Linked DNA regions of Lepisosteus oculatus. Each later gene encodes a partner of the first gene's protein in a complex. Links are inferred from orthologs where the notes say so. Each region holds a gene or a part of one and is shown on either strand. Other genes may lie near its edges.

Region 1 (3,754 bases):
AATAACTCTACAAACGTCCCTCGCACCTCAGGATTAACACAGAATGCTGTTTGGGTGGCCTTCGACCTCACTGTTAAGGTCATATTCTCCAAGCACATAACAATTATTTGCATTTTGTATTTTTACGTGTACATTATATTGCAATACGATATAACTGTATAGTGTATATACACTATACATTGAAAACATCACTCCCCTCCTTAGACAGAAAATGCTGATTTCAGCTCACCAAGAGACAAAAAATCCCTGATCGTGACAGTCACGAACGTTTGGATGAGTTAACAGAGATAAAAATTAAAAAAAGTATAAATATAATAGGCTGATTACAACAAAGGCGTTTAACGCTTTTATTACATGATTAGGATCAGCTCAAGGATTTACCATCTCAATATAAAAACACATTTTTGCCATGATTTCAACTAACCTTACTTTTATAGGAGTCATACCTTGAGTTCTAATTCTTGACATGGGGTCGCAGTGCCTTACCGTTTAGTTGCTATTGCTACGACACGTTTGTTCATACATTTCGGGGGGTAAAACCGCGGGTTTCGGAACAGGGTCGTGAGATCAGGCCCTGCACGCAGAAACTCAAAGTTGCTCTATTGGCGAAATGAGAGCGCCGCAGGGGTGGGAGCTCTGGGGGTCTCAGCGGGGAGCAGGAAATGTGTTGCCCTGCGAGAAAAGTGCAGGTATCTGGGGACGGGTTGGGTACATGAGGATTCAACGCTTCTCATTCACCAGAGAACTAGGAAAAACCACCAGCAGCTAACAAGCTCCCAGCATGAGTCACTTAAGGGACTGGAGGAGCCTTGGCCTAAACCAGCTCTAACACGAGGTGTTATACCATCAGCAGTGCTGTTCAAAGGGCTGCCAGTTTTCTTCATCATCTACCTTCCAGATCAGTGAGGGCTTTTTTCATTTCTATTTAAGTCAGCCTGTATTTGGGGGAGTAGTAAAACAAACGTCTGATTTAACACAACGACAAAACCATATTTATTTTATTATCCGCAAACAAACATCTATATTGTTAAACGAAACTGTATGATATTTTAACGTATGTACTTTTCTTAAATGGTTCATGTCATGGTAACGTCATTTTTGGAGTATTAAAAGGCACAAAGAATTGCAACCACTGACACTTTGCCACGTACCCTACACTAAACAAATACTCGACGATCCTAGTGGAAAGTTATTTGCTTCGAACTGATAATTTCTCTACAGAAATCTGTTGTTAGCTTCTCCTTGTGTCCTTTCTTGGGAAATTTCGATCAATCCGAAGCAACAGAAGCTGTGAAGTTCAGTGGCTGAGGAGCAGTGGCGTCGCTGCGCCTTTAAGCGCTGTCGGCGCTGGGGGAGGAGAGAGCCTGTGTTGCAGACTGCTGGGGGATTCCTAGTATAAACACTTCAGCCAGACTCGACTGCGGAGTGCGGAGCTCGATTGCTACAAATTGACCTAGAGGCGTTTTATTTTTCCCAGAGAATTGTTATTATATAGGTTTTCGTAGGAAAACGAATGCTTATATGTGGCCTGTATCCTTTGCTTTTTTATTTTTTTTTCGTTCCTTGTATATAGTCACGGATATCAAGTGAGCCGAAATAAAGCAGGTTGCAAAAGGATTTCCCACGTTTCCAGAGACGCGACTCATGTCTTTGCTGGAGTCCTGTCCATAACCAGGCAGGTACGTGTATATCTGGCGGAACTGCAAGGCGCTAGCACCGGAGATAGGGCCGTGCTGCTGATCTGTGACAGTATGAATTTATCTACATTAACACGCATTTGTGTAAACATTGGAATATTTATTTTTTCGAAAAGCTAGGTTCTAGCACAGTTGGGTACGTATATCGACATTAAAGTGCTGCCTAAAATGGAGCTTTAGTGATCGGTGAGCGGTGCCTCACGTCACTGGTGTAGAAACGTAGTTTCCATTTTGTTTTATTTTATCAGCTGAATGCAACATTAGTGCCTCTGAAGGTCCGTCGCATCTCCGCTGTGGTCGCGGGTTGAATTGCGGAGTCGTGTTCATCGTTGTGGCTCGGTGTGCGGGTGGAGTTAGTTTACTAAATGCTCATTTTCAACAGAATAAAATCTCGCATTTTCTGCCCTTTTCTTTTTGATGTCTTTAATTTTTGCATGTTTTATGCTTTAATGTTGAAATACTTAATAGCTTCCCAATGGAACATTGACGAGGCGTCTAATAACATCGGGTTCAACGTGGCCTTTAAAGACAAACACTTTTTAGCAAGCTGTTTATCGTAGCTTCATGAAATGGGAGACTATGGTAGCGCACGCATAGCAGGACTGCAATTCAATAGTTAACTTGGTGCTGTAAGAGGTGGATCATATGGTTTCGATCCAGAATAGAGAAGTTCCTTCTGTAATTATACACTGGCACACGTGGCCATCAGACGTAACGTTATGTTTTGCAGCAGAAAAACAAAATTTAGTTGATAAGATTGGAATTCAGATAGTAATGTTAAACATGTACTACTTTGCGAACAGTGGTTCTGTCTCTGCCTGTAAAAGTACCGTTTTAGGTTAGCTCTGTAGGCGCTGTTGAAATTTTAGGAAGTCTGTAGTAACCCATTGGAAAATCTACAGGGTTACTAATTATCAGAAATTTAACTTGGTGTCATAAACTGAAACGGACAGCAGCCCACGTGCACAACCACAAACTAGAGAAAACACCATAATAGTTTTCTTAATTGTAATGAAAATATACTCAAAATGTCAATTCTAATTTTTGCTTTTTTTTTGCTTAATTGTTTACGGAAATCTTAACATCTTTTCGTTTACTAAGGACCTTTAAAGAGTTCTTACAGGGCTGCGATTATACTTTTCATCCACAAAAGACTTATTTTTTTAAACATCTTCAGTATGATTAGGGCCTAATACGGAATTATTTTTCAGACCGTTTGCGACCATTTCATAGCCTGTGTGTGCTCTTCTGGACTGATAGACCTTCATCATCACTGGGGAAGCTGTTTGATCCCTGAGATCTTCACAGTTCAAGATGTGTTTATTGGGAGCGCCGTTAGTTTGGTTTTCTTTACATCACAACAGCAGACATTATCATTAATTTGTGACTGGGTCATTTCCAGTTTGTTAAAATACAGCGTGTGAGCTTGCTAGTTGTGTTTTCACAGAATTTAGAATTTAGATAGTTGCTTGTATATCAAGTCCCTTTCAGGAGGGGGTGCTCTTTAGTTAATGGGGAGCTTCTTGGTTATTGCGATACCAACAAGGCATCTTTCAAAGTTGTGGGGATACACATACTTCGTGCAGAATGACTGAGACTTGGCAACTAGGAACTCGCACACGATATAGTAAGTGCAATGGATACTACTGGATTGAAGTTGGATTTTTCTGCTGAATACCTTTCGTTAGAAGCAGGGGCTTCAGAACCATGTCCTATTGCGCTCATTGGTATCCGATTGTACAGGATTTCTTAATTCACTTGTATAGATTTGACATGAAAAATACTTTTACTGTGAGCTGCTCAGAATGTAGTGTTGATTATTTAATGCATTTTGTTGTAGGACCTATTTATCGTGTTGTAAATGAACACATGCTATTCACATTTCTTACTATTTTGTGAAGTCTTTGATAATAGAAAATTAAAAAAATTAAAAACTCTGGTCAAGTTTGGTTTAAAAGTTATGTTTTGTCCATGGTATACTTAAAATTGTATGAACAATGAAGTGGTCATGTTTTTGGAATAGGGTAGGTTTTTCATCAGATTTGAGATTGTTCTTT
Region 2 (3,754 bases), on another chromosome or scaffold:
TATTGTTTTGTTTTAGGAAACAGAGCAAATATGAACCCCTGATAACAGTTACTTGGTTGTGTTAGTCAGAGGTTCTTTGGTTTTAATTCTAATACCAAAAGACAAACTGGCTTGAGTTTGACTTTGTTGTACAGCTTGGGTAAGTTAATTAGCTTCTTCGCTTAAACCTAGAAGCCAGCATTCATTGGCATTAAATTAGTTTTACCAATTTACTGTCTTCCATGTTGTGAATGCCTTAATTAAACTTTACAGTGGACGGTTACATTGCTTTAATTAAGTCGTTTTTTTCCCTTTTTTTACTGCTAACTGGTCCTATTTTGTATTTCAATCAAAAGTCAGTCTAATCTGGAAATTTAACTGAGGCCTTAAAACCCATAGTTTTTTTTTCAACAGATTATGTGGCCACAAAGCTCTGATACAAAAGTTGTTTTTTAGTGCTCATAGCCCCCTACACCACAACTGGTAATTAGCAAGAGTTTATATTTTTTTCTTTCCTTATCAATGTTGATATGTTTGTATTTATTCATGTATATTAAACACGTGCACACTCAGACATACACAAATGATGTTCATCATGCATCATATTTCTCATTCACAATGGTTTGTGTTTGTCAAAGTCTGAAAGGTTTAATCTCTAAGCTTGACACCTTGAACTGATAAGCATTGTCTTAAAAAAGAGAATGTGCTGGTTCTTTAAAGCCCCCCTTTCTTTCTCTCACCCTGTTCCATCTCTCTGTCTTGTCTCTCTCTCTCAGGCACACTCTCTCTCTTTGTCTCTCTCCACCCACTCCACCTGCTCAGTTCCCCTCAGTATGTGCAGGCAGTGCCCTGTCCAGTTCCAATTGGCTAGGAAGCCACCAATCTGGCGTCTGGATGGGCCAGAGGGACTACATATGCAAAGCTTTACTTCATATTAATGAGCTCCAATCGTGGCTTTAAGTCCTTGATTAGAAGAGTGCGAGAGCTTTTGGTCCCAACTGGCTGTGCCTATAGGCTTGTCACCAGGAGAACATTTCTGTTAATTGCACTGCTCTGTCAGGAAAAACTTTGATTTATAGAGGGGGTTTGCTCAAATTATGGTTGCAGAGCGCACATGGATTCGGTAGAACTTTGCCTGCCAGAGTGTTTTTCCCTGCACTCCGAAGAAGAGTAGGTACATTTTGATTTTTATTCTTCTCTTTGGAAATTATGCCTAATGTTTTACCTATAGACAGTTTTGTTTGTCTTAAATTCTTGCTGTTGCATGTGTACTTTTGTTTTCTGTGTTGTGTTGTGAGCTATATCTGTCTGTCTTGTGTTGTTGACTGACAATGTGCTTCCCTGTAGTGTGTACTTACTGCTCAATACATAGCACAGCTACCTGTCAGGCAAAGTACTGAAACAGTAGCATTGCCTTGTACCTCTGGAAGAAAAAGTGAGCACATTCTTTTTACCATTTAAACCTCACAGATTTCTATAAAAGGCAAATATTTTTTCAACTTAATTTATACTCTGTGTTTTATCTGTTATTAATTTTTATTGATACCATGTCCTTGAGATTTTTTAAAAGAGAGAGCACTTAGAAAAAAAGGTATACTCCAATACCATAAAAAGCTTGAATTTCACAGACAAGCTGCTTACAGTGTGGCCTGGTTCAGCTATTAACAGTGCCACATATTTACATTATTGAGAGCTATGGGGTTATGGTGTATGTTGGTGGGGGGCAGGGGGGGGGGGGGGGGGCAGGTGCTGAATCGAGCCTGCATAGTTCATATAGAGAAACTAGGTTTTCCAAAGTAAATGTATTTTGTTTTTGTCAGATTGATACAATTTCAATTTTAATTACTTGTTTGATGCTTATTTTGTGTTTAATGGAAAAAAATCATAAACTTTGCATTTACTTGTATACATTTTTTATCATAGGTGTCAGCCACTTGTAATTGTTTTCATTCAACAGCTGTATTTGCAGCATTAAGTGAATTGAAATAATAATCGCGTTTGTGCTCAAAGAATTGACAAATAAACAACAAACAGCTAATATGGATAAGTCTGACTGACACTGCTGGGTGTGCTTGCAATTGCCTAGATGTTTGCAAACTGTCATGGGTTCATATAAACCTGATATCTTAAAAACACACACTGGAAACATAACATTGGTCTCTCTTTAAGAAAAGAAACACCAAGACTATTAACCCCTGCCCTTAGTTACATTAAAACACCGATAAGACCATAAAAGTATTGTTCCACCCTTAGTCCATTTAGAGATTAGAAAGAAATAAAGTGTGCCGGAACTGCTGTGTTACAGGTATGCTGCCATAAAGTCCTACCAGCTTTATCCCAGTCTTTTAGACAGTTAGATTAAGGCAATTAACATTAGATATTGAGGTGCACTTGAAGCACTTTCAGAACTGTAAAATAAACACTAGCTTTAATGTGTAACTTTCAAAAATGTGATTGTATTCATTACTACATTATTCTAGCTTCTCAGTAGAATAATTGTCCTCTGTCTGACTTCTCATTCTTTAGGTCTTTAGGAATTAAAATGCTACATCTATGGATACACTTAAGATAACACCAGCATTGAAAAATAAATATGCATTTATAGAAAATGCATTGATTAATCTAATAAGTTCTGTTTTCCCATTTTCTTTTTTATTATTAAGCTCTTTTTCTGATTTTACCTTCTTATGGCTAATTTACATGTTTGGTCTTCATAAGCTTCTTGATGTATATGCTTTTATATTGAATTTGTACCTATACCTTTTTTATGATCTAAGATTTAATGTCTTCTCACTACTTCTTATTTTTGAAGTAAATCAATGTATAATAATATAGTAATGTATAATAATTAGTGTTAAGTTCAATAATATATGGATATATTGGGATACATTGATATATGATATATACATTGAATAATAATGTAATTATTGCACTTCTTTCCTGAGATTTGTTTTTTTATGAAACTTTTATTGTTCACCACTTTATTCAGATTAGCACAAACATAAGAATTAACGTAGAATGGGGTTCATATGTGGAAAGCCATCCTGTATTTATGTACAAGTGTAAATTCATTTTTTAAGGTTGAGGTTTTCCATTTCAATAATTATATAAATAATTATGCAGACTTAATTTCTGTAATTTAGAACAAATGTGAGATAACATTAAAATGCACATTTTTGCTAAAATTTTACATTTTGTCACCAAGTTCAAATGATTTCAACAATGATTGCTACATTTACTGTAAAATGTCGATTTATTTTAATATTAATTCTTAGTTTGCAATATTTATGATAAGATTATAATTACTGTTTTTGTTTAAATGCATGGAATATATAGAAACATTAAATCTAAATATAGCCTTTACAAAATTGAATTGCTGTACAAAAAATATATATAACGTATGGTGGAAATAGCAGCAGTGTATTTTAGGGTTGTTATATTACTTTAAAATCATGTAAGTAACATGATAAATCCTTATTAATTGTTTTTTTTTCATATTTTGTAAATTTTCTACAATATTATAAAATTTACCTACAACGTTTATTTCAAACAAAAATATCATTTGAAAGCATAAACATGTGGAGTCTGTCTGTCCAATCCAGAATATACTATTTAATTTAAAAATGCAGTGGAAAGAAAAAAAATAGCTAAATAAAGGTAGAACAAACCTATTCCTCATTGTTATGTTATAATCAATTATATAATCCAAATAGATAGCATCTATGTTTTGTTAGCGTATTGAAACACTTGGTGCTGTTTGAAAAAGATTCATCAT
Region 3 (3,754 bases), about 58 Mb from region 1:
GATTCTAATTCTTTAGTTTAAGTCACGTTTGTTGTTTTTGTACAGCTTTTAGGTAAGTTTAACTTTGCACATTTAATTTCTCCCATGGTAGGAAATTTTTACAGAGAAATATTTGAGGTAGCATTTTTTCTACTTGACTTGGTGCACCACATGCTCGAAACTCAGTAATGGATATTTTTCATTAATCTTGATGCCACCAAAAACATCAAAAATGCCCTTTACTTTTCGGGAAAGAATATGCAGTTCTTTTAAATACACCCCTCTCCCGGCATCCCTGTAAATACTGTATAACCCACCTTCAAATGACAGAACTAGTACAATTTTTATATTAAAACTGTTGAAAATTAAAAATACCTAAAAAATAATGCTTTTTGTTGGTATTCACTTACAGATGTTTTTGATGTTGTTTTTTCTTGAACTTTTGAGATATTTTAATCAAAATACAAACAATTCTGGATTGACCAAAGATTGGGAACGAGCTCATTCTAATAAAGAGCACTTTCAATACAGAAATTTAAAAAACAATAAAAGAGGATATTTTATCCTGCTTTGTTGTAAGGAGGAAGGCCACGTTTGAATGGATGCGTCAATGTTTTACCAAACTCATAACCTCGGCAAAAGTTAACCGTCTGCCCCGGTCTCTCCTACTGCTGTTTTTCCCACTAAATAACGAGTTACATAACAATGTGAAGGCGTTCATATCCCTAGCCTTTTTTTTTCATTGCGCTTAAATCCTATACAGAAAGGGTGAAAATATGGGTCACCGGGTCAGGAGTGTCAGAGCCAGAATTCAATACAAACGCCGTGAGATCAACCTTAAAATTTTCAAACAGCGAAATGCCTTTGTACCTGCCTTTGCCCGGTATTACATAACCCAGGGATTTCTCCAAACTACCAAGTTACCAAGTGAAACAATGTTTTCTTTCTATAGCAACGGATCAACACAAGTCTTGCACGCTTCTATCCCCTAAAATGCAACCGGATTTGCACATTGCAGAAAGTTACATTTTTGTTTGTATCTGAGGATATGACTTTCAGCGGCCGTCTATGCAAACCGTACAAGAATTGCAGTGATTTTCCCTGCTCTCTCCCTCCCCTGTTTATGGCTAAACCTGTTACATAACCAGCTTACATTCCACATTCAACGTATCAGACTCTAAATATACTGTACGTTTCGCTGGAGGAAATGCGATGGAAGACGACCGCCCCGTGTTAATGCACAGAATGAAATTTTAAATGCACAGCGGATCGGGTGAACACTGGCATCGCTCGCTACTTTATTGTAACAAGTTTCTTTAGTATATAATCATTTTTTTCCCCCCAACTTCACTTGCATTACGTGAATGGAGGCTGTCTGGTGGGTGTGGCTACAGTACGTACTGTCTGTACTGTAAAACAGCCAGCCATATTTCAGCTCAAAATGCAAGAAACAGACATTAATAAAAAAAATCAGACTCCTACACCCGAGGAAATTATTGTAATAAAAGCCATCTGCCCGCTGTTACGCTGCTGTCATGTGCGTACTCCCCGGATCCTGTCTTGCAAATGCAACGTGTGAGCACTTTGACAAAATTTGCGCCGGTGTAACAAATATTTTGTGGTTCTTGAAATATGCGCCTGCTTAGTAATTGAACAGCGCAGTTAAAACAAAATCGCCTGCCTTTAAACATCAATTCACACAGAAGTTACTTTCAAGAGACGTGAAACACCTGTCATACTTTTCCAAAGTTCGCACAGACTACCTTGGATTTCATATTTTTGACAAATGTCGGCGGCCCTCCCAAATAACAATATCCAGTAAAGAGACTATCACTTTACAGTGCCCTGTGCTTCCTCCCGGTCACGGGCTAATTTATTTAATTTTCCGTAATTCCTGGGGAAAAAATGTCTGTTTTGTGTCTTCTTTACACGCTCGGCTCTCCTTACTTCAACACCAGTTATGGCTGGTGCCGTCAGAGGGCTGCCGAACGCGCTGATACAGTAGCACTTGCTAAGTTGCAGAATTAAAAACAGATTTACAGCTGTAAAAACTTTTATTTGCTGAAAAACGGCTTCACGGGTGTTTTCAGCGACACCTCACATATACACAATAATCGTTTAAAAAAAAGGTTTCGTGATCCCTTAAAAACACACACACACACATACACACACCGGGAGCAGTCTGCCTTTTCAAAGTTGCCTCTGATATTTATTTTCCAGTGCCTCTAATATTACACAGATGTCTATAAACATTAGCAGCTTACCTCTGTTGGTACTGGAGCAGCTCTGCCTCCGAACAGGGGCTTGATGGTCAGCTTTTCGGAGAGTCTCCAGGTTTACCGGGGTGTCCCTTACCGGGGTAGCCGGCTCCGAGGAGCTGTTGCCCGGGTCGCTGGCTGGATCTGGAGCGGACTCCATGTTTAATATTTTTTTAGGATTATTATTTTTAATTATGGTGATTTCGCCGTGGATGGTCTATGAATGGCGAGCTCTGAGACTCCCTCTATCTATTTTACAGTAGAACTATGAAATGTGAATGTGCGGGTCTCGGTAGAGGTGGGTGTGTGTGTGCGACTGTCCACTGGCAGCGCTAGAGAGAAAGAGCACTGTCTGTGAAATTACCCACGGAGCTGGCCAGGGAAAATCTGTCAATAGCAGAGAGAATAGATGGGGAAGGCTTTTTAGCATGTGCCTTGCTCTGCCCAGAGGTACTGTATTACAGAAATGCATAAATCAAGGCTTCCAAAAAAAAAAACCGCTCCCAAGTTATAAATGACGTTCCAGGAATATATTTCCACGGAATGAAATGACGAACAGAAATAATAACAACAAAAAGAATGTATTATTACGTGATGGAGCAAACTTCACAGAATAATATTTGCCCTTGTTGTTTTTGTTACCTGCAGTAGGAGTTTCTTTGTTTTAATTTCTGGTCGCTGTGATATTTTATTGTAATTAACAGTGTCTTCAAACCAACGGCAGAATTTGAATTCATTGAATGCACAAACGTTAAAGATTACAATTAACAGTCCTGGAGAAAAAAAAGAACTGCCGCAGTACTTAGATGTTCAACCGACCTGTATGTTTTGTAAACCATGCTAATCAGAAAGATAACATACAGTATTTAACGCAATGAATGGAGCTCAAATTCAATTAAGCACTCTTTCTAAATGAATGCCCATACTGTACATCATCTTAAAACCTACGGAGCACCGATGCCTTCTTTCTTGTTGCAAAACACAAAAAATATTTACAATTTATTAGGCCTAAATAATTACAAAAATCCGTAGGCTATGTAAGATAAAGTGCCTAGTAAGAACAGGGTAGAAAACACGCACAAAACGCATAACTTGTACTGGGTCCGCTGGGTTAATTAGAGTACTTCCTATTTTCGAACTCTTATGAAGACTAGATATTTCACTCTAGATTTAAACTGTAAACTGTGGAGATGTGCACACTAGGTGACGGATAATTCAAAATCTCGAGCGACAGCTGTTTAGCTTATGTCCACTGAAGAGCGCACAGGAAATACGATCCAATATTATTTAAACAAAATGTGGTTAAGTGGGTATTTCTGTAACATCGCAGGCAAGAGTATGTGATGTATAAAAAACAACAACTTATTGTTTTTCTTTATCACAATTCATTGTTTGCTTTTGCAGAATATGATCTTTTAATTAATTCTAACGCTTTCAGTATTTTTAAAGAGGTTATTAATAAAAAATCATTTTCTTGTGCAGGAAACAAACACTGACATACTGGAAGCTGCCTGATT

Evidence for each region.
Region 2: the proteins of nrip1a (region 1) and esrrga are in contact, whole or in part, in a crystal structure (PDB 2GPP), measured with the Homo sapiens proteins. The link is inferred for Lepisosteus oculatus from reciprocal best matches to the Homo sapiens genes NRIP1 and ESRRG. Residues at the interface, in NP_001426204.1 of Homo sapiens: Ser378, Leu379, Leu380, Leu381, Leu383, Leu384, Lys385, Ser386, Gln387; in NP_001429.2 of Homo sapiens: Val277, Ile280, Lys284, Phe289, Leu294, Gln297, Met298, Leu301, Gln302, Lys448, Leu449, Glu452, Met453.
Region 3: the proteins of nrip1a (region 1) and roraa are in contact, whole or in part, in a crystal structure (PDB 4S15), measured with the Homo sapiens proteins. The link is inferred for Lepisosteus oculatus from reciprocal best matches to the Homo sapiens genes NRIP1 and RORA. Residues at the interface, in NP_001426204.1 of Homo sapiens: Thr499, Leu500, Leu501, Gln502, Leu504, Leu505, His507; in NP_599023.1 of Homo sapiens: Gln332, Val335, Lys339, Phe344, Met345, Gln349, Gln352, Ile353, Leu356, Pro505, Leu506, Glu509, Leu510.

The regions. Positions count from the first base shown.
Region 1 is NC_090700.1:318,439-322,192, reverse strand, and holds the start of nrip1a (nuclear receptor-interacting protein 1), read left to right. Parts: upstream 1-1,364; 5' UTR 1,365-1,679; intron 1,680-1,688; exon of another isoform or gene 1,689-1,833; intron 1,834-3,754. UniProt on the Homo sapiens protein: Modulates transcriptional activation by steroid receptors such as NR3C1, NR3C2 and ESR1. Also modulates transcriptional repression by nuclear hormone receptors.
Region 2 is NC_090697.1:62,012,257-62,016,010, reverse strand, and holds the start of esrrga (estrogen-related receptor gamma a), read left to right. Parts: upstream 1-934; 5' UTR 935-1,093; coding exon 1,094-1,149; exon of another isoform or gene 1,150-1,153; intron 1,154-3,754. UniProt on the Homo sapiens protein: Orphan receptor that acts as a transcription activator in the absence of bound ligand. Binds specifically to an estrogen response element and activates reporter genes controlled by estrogen response elements.
Region 3 is NC_090700.1:57,932,365-57,936,118, reverse strand, and holds the start of roraa (nuclear receptor ROR-alpha A), read right to left. Parts: upstream 2,552-3,754; 5' UTR 2,398-2,551; coding exon 2,244-2,397; intron 1-2,243. UniProt on the Homo sapiens protein: Nuclear receptor that binds DNA as a monomer to ROR response elements (RORE) containing a single core motif half-site 5'-AGGTCA-3' preceded by a short A-T-rich sequence.